Drosophila melanogaster: one gene and its partner. The protein of the gene in region 1 interacts with the protein of each later gene in a pairwise test. Each region holds a gene or a part of one and is shown on either strand. Other genes may lie near its edges.

Region 1 (4,911 bases):
TTGAAACTGAAAATAGATCGTAATTAAACAAAAATGCGAATAACAAATAAATCTAGGCAAATGTGTAAAGCTTGTAAACTTATATTAACTCAGTTACTAACTACATATAGTCTTGAAAAACAAAGAGCCTAATTATTTGTTCATAGGGCGGGTAAAACTAAATGAGAATATATTTGACTGCAGGGTATCAAATTGCGAAACGAAACCAGACAAAATTAAAGTACAAACGGCTACCATTGAGTTATAAACACTTAGAAGAGCTACCAAGTAGTTAGACTACCAAAATAGACCATTAAGGGTGTTAGTTACCTGGGCAACGGTCTGTTCGGCAATGGGAATGTCATCGTTGCGCAGATCAACGCGTTTCACCACCGACGAGGGATCCGCATCCAGAATAATGCTATTTGGAAAACGGGTAAAGGTTTAAATAGAATATTTGTATTTAATAATATGTAATGCATAATATACAGTGATGAATGGCAAAGTATATCTTTTTGTACCTCAGGTGATTTCTAAAGCTCAGCCTATAAACTTAAAAACTTATACGAGCTGCATGCCTAGGATGCCAGTGCTCGTATGTATTAGTTTAATCTTTAAGTTTAATATATTTTAATATTTAGTTTGATTTATATAATTAAACTTTTGTACCTATACCCTAACATCGCAGTTATCATATAACTTTTCATTGGACTTGACTAGGTTTTGTTAAAAAAAAGGAAGCTTTAAATGCGGTTAACTACTTAGAGGCTTCACTTGAGCTGGCCTAACTCATAGACTAGTAAATAACAATGTTATTTATGGGAACTTGTGTAGTAATAATTTGATGTTTTCTAAACGAACTGCTGCTAATGAAAGCTGCTTTAACTTGGTCCCTTGTTCTTTCCATCCATCACTGTATACGCTAATACACACCCTCCGTCGCAGATCTCGTCAAATGCCAGCATGATGATCTCCAGGTTTTCCAGCACCAGGCGCTTCTCAACGTTCTTCTTGAGGATCAGGCTAATGGAATCGTAGAGGCAGTTGAGCACGGACAGCAGGATGAGCTCGTTCTCGTAGGCGTTGCCCATCACGTAGAAGAAGAGGTCCACGTTGCTCTTGTACACGCAGGTGAGTCCGTCCAGCATAATGATCTCCGTGTTGGAGCGGTGCGTCTTATTGAACAGATTCTTTTCGAAGGCCTTCTGCTCCTTCAACGTGGACAGGATGTTCTTGTCGTAGTACTTGGCCAGGATGCGGTTGCCATCGTTGTCCATGATGCACATGCCCTTGATGATATCCTGCAGCACATGTTGGGTTTGATTTTAAGCCAGTTACTTGTGTATTTTGCAATTTACCATCATAAATCCGTCCATCTTCACTTGTTTTCGTGTCTTACACGTCACTTTAGTATGACCATATTGCGACCGCTAAATTATACCAACTAAACAGTACTGCCAACTCGAGTCACAAAATAAATAGCTAGATACAGTTAAAACTATCTAGAAAAACTGTTAAAATTTTTGAATTTTAGCTAAGCCGTTATCGTTGTTTTATTATTATATTTTAAATTATAATTTGAAACACATGGGGGGCTGGCTTGCTTGACGTTGGCCGTACTTTGCTGGGGTATTTAAAATAAAATAATGTAAATGTAAAAAAAGAATAACGGTTTAAATGTAAATTATCCTGTCTTAAATAAAACAACAGTTTGGAAAGATCAAGAAAAGAATTGTCAATGTCAATTTTATTATTGCAGAAACTCTGTTTATTTTTAACTTACCTATTATTGAAGAAATCCTGATTATGACAAGAGTTCCAAATTTAAAAATTGCCTTGCCTTTGATTTGTCTGTTTCAAATGAGGTTTAAATTTGAATAACCTAGAAACAACTGATGACAACCAAAATTTGTGAATATTTTAGTAACAAGAACAGGCACACGTACAAATTATTTTCGCCCAGCCAACGAAATTGTTAGATTCAATTGTGTATATTTTTATGTGAACAACTAGAGGGCATTGCGATGGAGACTTTGCCGGAAGAGTATGTAGCCCATCGGGATCAGGAGCTGTTGGGGTGCAAAGTGGGCCGTTCCTCTCGACGTCGGCATGACCATGATGCCATGGCCGCTGCCCATGTGGTGCTGACCACCGCTGTGGTAAAACCAAAGCCAACAAAGCCGGAGTCCAAAAAGCTGCGCAAAAAGCTATCCGAATGCGAGCAGGAGAAGCAGTCACTGGCCCAGGCCATTCATGAGAAGAATCAGGAGATATCCGACCTGAAGAAATCGGTTGATTCGCTCAACGAGGTGCTCAACTCCGTGCCCATTGATGAGCTGCGCTGCAACTCCTCCATTGCCAGCACCAAAATCCTGGAACTGAGCAAGAAGAACCGCCAGATGCGTTCCGAATTGGAGCAGGCAAAGAGTCGGCTGGGTAAAAAGGATGCTCAGATCGAGAAGCTGGAGAAGGAGCTGCGTGCGCACGAGGAGAAGCTGCAGCATAATCAGGATCTGCCAAAAAAGGGCTGCTCCCCCGATGAGCTCCAAGCCAAGATCAACAGTATGCAGCAGAAGCTCTTCGAAACGCGAAACAGGAACACCGAGCTACAAAGCCAACTGAAACTGGCCCAAAAGTGCCTGCAGCACGAGATCGGTGAGAGCTGCAACATCAACATCCTGGCCAACAATCTTAATCAGGCCAATTGGCGCGGTCGTGCTCAGCAGATCATCGCGCTCAACCAGAAAGTGCACGAGCTCAAGGCTCGCTTGGATTTCTACGAGGACCGAGCCGTAGATCGAGCCGAATATGCTGCCCCAGTGCCGTTGGGTTCGGATCTGGAGTTGGTAACCGGCAGCTGTCGATCACATCATGCCAGCTCTGAGAGATTAGGTGGAGGCGATGGCGGCGGAGCCACAACGGCCAGCTTCGATCGCTTTACACCGGGTGTGCGTAAAAGTGAGATTCTTCATCGAGCCAAGGTGGAGGCTCTGGAAAAGGAGATTCTTAGCCTGCAAAACCAACTGGAGGATCAACGCAGCAAGACACTCGCCCTAAAGGTGAGGAACAAGAATCTGAACGAGGAGATGAACAAGTACAAGATTCTATACAATGAGCTGGAGGAGCAGACCGACTTCAATGGCACCAATATCAATACCATGAATGACAAACTGAACCAGCAGAGGATTCAGTACGAGAACCGTTTGGACGACATGCGCGGCGAGCTGGTCCGGGTGACCGAGGAGCGAGATCTTTCGCGCCGGCAAATGGAAGAGCTGAGCGGTATGCATCTGGAGCTGCAGACGGTGGTCAAGCAGAAGGATGTGGCCATGGCCAGTCTGCAGGATATGATCAAGAAGCTGGAAATGGACCTGCGCGCCCTATCCGGCGGATTCCTCTTCTCCTGCCGCGAGTTTCGAAAGGTAAAACTCTGTACACTAAAACATAAGCTATTAATTTGCTTAATTATATTCCGCAGGAGGAATTTGTGGGCATCCTGGATGCTCTAGAGGTGGAGAAAAATCAGCTTATGTTGCTCACCAAAACTCTAGGAGATCGTCTGGAGACGGAGAGAGCCAAGAACGAAGCAGCTCAGGAGCAGATTGGCAAGTTAAAGGCCCGTATCAGCCGACTGGAGGTCAAGATCAGGGACCTGGAGAAGGAACTCGATGTGCAGTCCGATAAGAAGAAACGCACCCAGCGAATGGCCGACTACGCCAGTTCGCTGAGTCGCACTTCTCTTAACGGATCGATTGGTTCCTTCTGCTTCGAAAATCAGTCCCAGTACCAGTCCACAAATACGCTGAATTCGGCAGGACAGCCTGAGCCCAGAATAGAGGATCTAAAGAATAAGTAAGTTCGGACACGGCAATCCCATCGCTTAATCAACTATAACTACTTATATTTTCAGTCTTGAACTGGCCAAGGAAAAAATCACAATGCTGACAGAGAAGCTGGAGTATATCACCGAGGAGAAGAACGCAGATGCCAAATTTTTCGAGGACACCATCAACAGTACGAAGACCATTATCCTTGAAACTGTACTTGGAGCTCGCGAAAAGGGATTGAGCGATCGTAGCAAAAATGCAGATAAAAGCACGAGCGAGACTTCCATTCAATAATGAAGATGAACAAAACCACGATTTTTATTTTGATTAGTTTTTATGTTCTTTGCAATGCTAAAAAAACTGGACGAGAAGTCATGCCATATACATATTTATATGTAACTGGAATGTTATTAAACTTGCATGGCATTGCAATGCACATCATTGATTCTGAAGTACCGAAAACAATGAGTTTTAAATTTTCATAAATTTTTATTTGATTTGTAACACGTTCACAAAACGAAGCCTTTGGCGCTGCTTCTATTTCAGGATAAGATTAGATTAATTCAAGTATTTGTTAGGTGATTTCTTTCCACTCGAAGCATTTCCAATTGCATTATGCCTATATAATTGTTATTAATTGCTGTCTATAGCTATGCATGTGTGTGTGTGTGTGTGTGTGTGAGTGTCTTGTAAGTTAAGTTAATAATACATTATATATAGCTTGACTTGCCATAGAAAAACGATCCTGCAATCACATATTAAATTAGTTTTAGTTGCCGTTTGTAAATTGCTTCATTATTTGCGTTAGAAATTCGTTCTCCATTGCTCGCGTATGGTATGAAAATGTATAAGTTACAGTATAAGTATATTTTTTTTTATTGATTCTTTAATGCATTATTATTGATAAGCCTAGTAAATTGGTTTTATCTAAAAAACACGTTTTAGCAAATTAAAGGCACTTTCAAGGATTTCTTTTGTGAAACGAAACGATATCTCCACCTTATTCTCTTTCTTCAATTTAACACTAGAAACAAACAATATATAATTATTATTCTCTTAACAAAAATATTTATATATTAAAAACATGAATTTCCCCCGCAAAAAC
Region 2 (5,287 bases), on another chromosome or scaffold:
AATTCCTGTACTGGGTTTACTACTTCAATTTGGTGTGTTTCCGGAAGGGGGTATTGTTTTGAATAAATTGGGGAGTTATGTGTTGCATTTAGTACCTATTTAATGGTATTTGTAAATGTCAGTTTATCTCCTCCTTTATATTGAAGATTTTTAAATTTATTTAATAAACTTCTCAATTTAAAATATTCCTCCTTATTTAGATGATGTAATTGATATTGTGAAAAATCAATTTCTTTTTGATTCCTGATATAAATCAGGATTGTAATTGGATTGGTGTTTTTTGGATATAAAAATTCTGGGTTCTTTCCGATTCTGAGGTAATTAATTATTTATTAATTTCTAACTGATTGCGCATTTGTCAACAATTTTCTACCAATTACGATATGCTAATTATCGTAACTGTGTACATGAAATGTTTGATTTATTTTTAAAATACTATTGCTGGGTAAGATAATCAAGCTTTTCGAAGTAGTAGGCATTTGATGTTAAAACTTCACATATACTATTTTGATATGTATTTTCCATTGATCATATTATTTGTTGATCCTGTATCTAGTAGGCATTTGTATGTGCACCCTTTGTATACTATTTTTATGTATTCGTGTTGTCGGGGCCGTTGACCGAAAATTTTCGTTTAGTTCAGAACCATTTTGATATATATATATTTTGATATATAATATTTCGTTATTAATTTGTACGGGTTGGATCGGTTGTTGCCCTTCATTTATGAACCCATGATTTTGATATGGATTGTATTGATTTTGGTCATAATACTGTTGTTCGTAATAATTAGGTTGGACTTGTTCGAATTCATGTGCGTCTTGGAATCTCATTTCGTCAATAGACATTTTGAAGTTAGAATTCTTAGTTGTGGAGGCTTGTTGTATTGTAGTTGAGGGTATGTATTTCTTATAAAATGTGCTGTTTGAGGATTTTGGATTTGTTGGAAATGACTTTTGGGAATACTTGGTTGAATGCTGATATATGGGCTGGACTTGAAATAATTGGGTGGTATTGATTAAAATTAGGATGGAAGGGTTGAGAATATTGTGGGTAACTTGGTGGATATTGATACAAATACCCAATTGTATTGAAGTTGTGTGATTTTGAATTCAGATAAGGATTTGAGTTTTATTACGGATTTCGAGAAATTTGTTCAATCCAAAATTATTATGTTCTTTATAAATTCCCTCACTCTGTGCAATAGTAAAGTCTGTAATATCACGATGAGCCAAAATATTGTAGTAAATAATTGTATTGGTAGTTATAAGAGTCACTCGTGGAGTCAAAAAGGCATACCAGATTCGTAGAAAAGTATGTAACAGTCGGGAGAAAGCGTTTCCGACTGTATAGAGCTTACATATGTATAAATATATTTGATAGGGATCAATAGCCGGAGTCGATCTGTCCGTGTCAACGTCGAGATCTCAGGAAATATAAGAACTAGACGGTTGAGATTAAGCATACAGATTCTAGAGACATAGACGCAGCGCAAGTTTGTTGACGCATATTGCCACGCCCACTCTAACGGCCACAAGCCGCCCAAAACTGTCAGTTATTAGTCGATTTGACAAAAACTTTTTGCCACGCCCACTGTAACGCCAAGAAGCCGCCGAAGTGGTCACGCCCACACATTTGAACAATTTTTAATTACTTCTCATTTTATTCCCCAATATCTATCGATATCCCACAAAAATGATAAAAATTTCGCGTTTGCATTCATACTAGCTGAGTAAAGGGTATCTGATAGTTGGGGAAAACGACTATAGCATTCTCTCTTGTTGTATATCTGTAAGTTCATTGGATGAATTGAATTTCCTCCCAATTTTTCCTTTTTTTATTTTTTTTTTGTTTGTTGAACAAGGTGCTTGTTAAAGAAACTACAATTGAGCCAAGACAATTTTATAAAACTACAAAAAGAAAAATTATTTAATCAAAATAATAAAAATTTAATTAACCCCAAACTTTTCAATCACCTTCCAGTGCCTATGCCCGCCACCTTCCAGCCTCCACACAAGTCATCAATGTTTTCTACACACGTAGCCTCCTCAGTTGTTTAAGGGATCACAAAGTCTAAGCTTCGCATGTGCCGTGTTGTTTTAAGTGAATTTTGAGTTTTATTGTCGTAAATTATATAATTAGTTCATATACAATCATGTAAGTACAACAAATATTAATAAATATTCTTAGTGGCATGACCATTAGTAAAATATTAATTGAATTACTATATTACTTAATCTAAGCCTATGATTATAGTACCAATATTAATTAAGAATGATCTATGAATAACGATTTTAATCATTTTAATAATCCAATGACTGGTTAAGGCTCTAGGCAAATTACTTAAACAAGTGCTAACGAACATTACATTGACTGCATTTCGCGCGGGAGTATACATATACATACACATTTTTATGTACGCACATGTATGCCAAGAAAATGGCTTAAAACTAAATTCATGTAGAATTTGTATAGTGCACGATAAAAATGCAACCCAAATTCAACCATAAGCACATTTATTTTGATGGTCTGCAGCACTTCGCAAGTTTTGAAACCAATTCGGATATTATATTTTAAATTTCCTTTTCGTTTAGTATTCACAAAATCCGACGATTTTAAACACATATTCATATTCATATAGATAGTTGAATTGAAACTGTTTTCCAACCAAATTGGTTGGAAATTGATATTGATGTGTGTTGTGGATTGGAAAGGAGGATGTGTCGTGTTGCTACGCGTGCATCTTATGAAGAGTGTTGGGATTTATATTGATGTACACATAAACATACGTAACAATTTAAGCTAGGGCTAAAACAGATTAAATAAATTCGAGTTAATAAAATAAAATGGCTCATTATGCACGCTTTTCGTATAATTTCCCGAGCCTATAAAATATGTACAGTATGAAGTGAGCATACACCACATGGCTTAAGCTTAGAAAAAAATATCTTTATTTTTTATTGTACAAAAAATTAATGATGTGATAGTTGTGCGGATGATCTTAAATCCTGCTCGTGGAAGCATTTTTTTATATCATGAACCTAAACAGGTGTCGAATTGTTGTTGGATAGTTTGCTGTTATCACTCGATCAGAATCTATATGCGAAAACAATTTTGCCCACGGCCACTCTACTTCAAGCCACTTCAACTTCAAGCCGCCCACACGTTCGAAAAATTATTTTATTTGTCTACAGTTTTTTTGACAATTTTAATCGATAACCTAATAAAATGAAACAGTACATTTTTCTTGTGCTCTCCCACTATCTGAGTATCCGGTATCAAGAAACTCGACTATATCGTAATTTCTTGTCTTACCTCTTAAGTATTAAGTATTACCTAGTATTAAAATATATATTTGAAATATGTATGTATAAGATGAGTGCTGTGTTTCTCATCTTCCTATATATTATGAAAATTACAAGCTTAAAGTTAACCGCTTAAGACAGATCACCATACGCTCCCTCGATTAATAATTACCTGGAAAGCCTGTTGAGCCTAGATTTTCTTCGCATAAAGTAAATGTACATTTTTTTAACTCTATGCCGCGGAAAAACGTTGGTAATTTGGAAAAATTATATTCCGCCTACAAAAGGTAATCCTTTAAGTAATCCAAATGCTGTGTGATGGTACAGGTGTTGGAGGTGACCTGGAACAACGGACAGACGGCGATGACAGAAATGGGGCGGAGTCATTAAGAAACCATTATAAATGAGGATTCAGTTTGGTTTTATTAAGATTGCAGCGCTTTCTAATTCGGAAGAAATGTTACTTAACTACTACTTAACGAAATTCTGAATATTGTCAACAAAATCTGAAGAAAAATCAATGTACAAAATCTTAACAAATTCTGCAGAAGTTTGGAAAGGTGTGAAAATGAACTTCAGCAAGGTTCAAAAATCTGAAAACAAATTAGTAAAAAAAAAGCACATGTAATGTTTTAATGTAACCAGGGAGTACAAAATGTGTATACATTTCAGGTAACCATGAAAGCAAAGTAATATTTGAAAAGAAAATTAATTAGCTTCCTAGGTCACATCCCCAACCGTAGATGTCTATGAGCAAACTTCTTTGCCCGAATTCGGGAGTCAAGGGAGTCAAGGGAATTGGAGACCTATGCGGTTTTCAGGCACTACCGGTCCACAATAAAGTGGGGAAAACGCATATGCGGTCTTAGCCACTTATTTCTCATTTTGGACTGGACTTTGTTAAGAAGGTAAATGCAAATATTATTTTCGTAAAGAATTCTCTAGAACATGAAAGCGGCACAATAATGATAATTGTATTATTGAATCGTCGAGGGCCTTGGCAACCGGGACCGGGACATTTGCAGACCCTTATCAAGCCATTCCTTAATAAAATCGCTACTATCCAATCCGATTGGGAACGCGTAATTATTAAAAATAACCTTTTCCCAATGGGCGTATCGCATAGGTCATAATCAGAAAATCGAGATAACCTTACAACAACCGCGTGTGTGTTTTCGATAAAAAAGGACATTGTGAAAATGGCAATAAGAAAAACGTATCGTTATCCATTTTAAGAAACTAAAGAACGCTATTGACGCTGAATACTTTACAATACTTCAAATTATGGGAAAAGCTCCACATTTTACAACATCGGACCTTAAATCGTAATTCCATCAAATCGAGTAATTAGAGAAATACAGGGAAACCCCTGAAATATTTTTTAATGACGAACTGCATTTCTACAGAACTACAGAACTGCATTCTGCACCACTCGGACTGCAAATTGCACCAAATTTTTTCCAAAGGACAATCGATGATGCTTTGCGGAACAGATCTTAAATAAACATGCTACGTGTATGTCGATGACGTCAGTTCTTCACAAAAACTAAAGATCATCAAATAAGATATAGAACAGAGCTTAAAAAGTTTATAAAAGCCGGCATCAGGCAGTCTCAAGAAAAGTAAATCGAGGCCTTCCAATCACCTACGTTGATTTACCAAAACTAATATTGCCATCATTCATAGTGATGATGCTCTCTCGTACCTTTTAACTGTTTCCGTAATCAAAAATAATCGCGGAAGCAGACTTCTCATCTACGAAAATCTTTATCCGGCCAAAATAAATTTCTATCGTTTCCCAAAAAAAAACGTTTTGCCACGCCCACTCTAACGCCCTAAAACCGCCCAAAATTGATGGATATTTCTTCATAATTTTATTAGTCTTGTAAATTTATATCGATTTGCTAAACAACTTTTTGCCATGCCCACGCCCACTAACGCCTTAAAGCCGCCAAGACGGTCGCGTCCATACTTGTTTTACA

Evidence for each region.
Region 2: the proteins of CG13032 (region 1) and Marf1 interact in a two-hybrid assay, tested with the Drosophila melanogaster proteins (one large-scale study listed by BioGRID).

What each region holds. Positions count from the first base shown.
Region 1 is NT_037436.4:16,672,145-16,677,055, forward strand, and holds CG13032 (uncharacterized protein), read left to right. Parts: upstream 1-1,819; 5' UTR 1,820-2,003; coding exon 2,004-3,401; intron 3,402-3,457; coding exon 3,458-3,831; intron 3,832-3,889; coding exon 3,890-4,100; 3' UTR 4,101-4,120; downstream 4,121-4,911. Other genes in the region: zetaCOP (coat protein (coatomer) zeta), read right to left, coding at 310-400, 913-1,280, 1,338-1,355.
Region 2 is NT_033779.5:22,309,882-22,315,168, forward strand, and holds the start of Marf1 (meiosis regulator and mRNA stability factor 1), read left to right. Parts: upstream 1-2,045; 5' UTR 2,046-2,157; intron 2,158-5,287.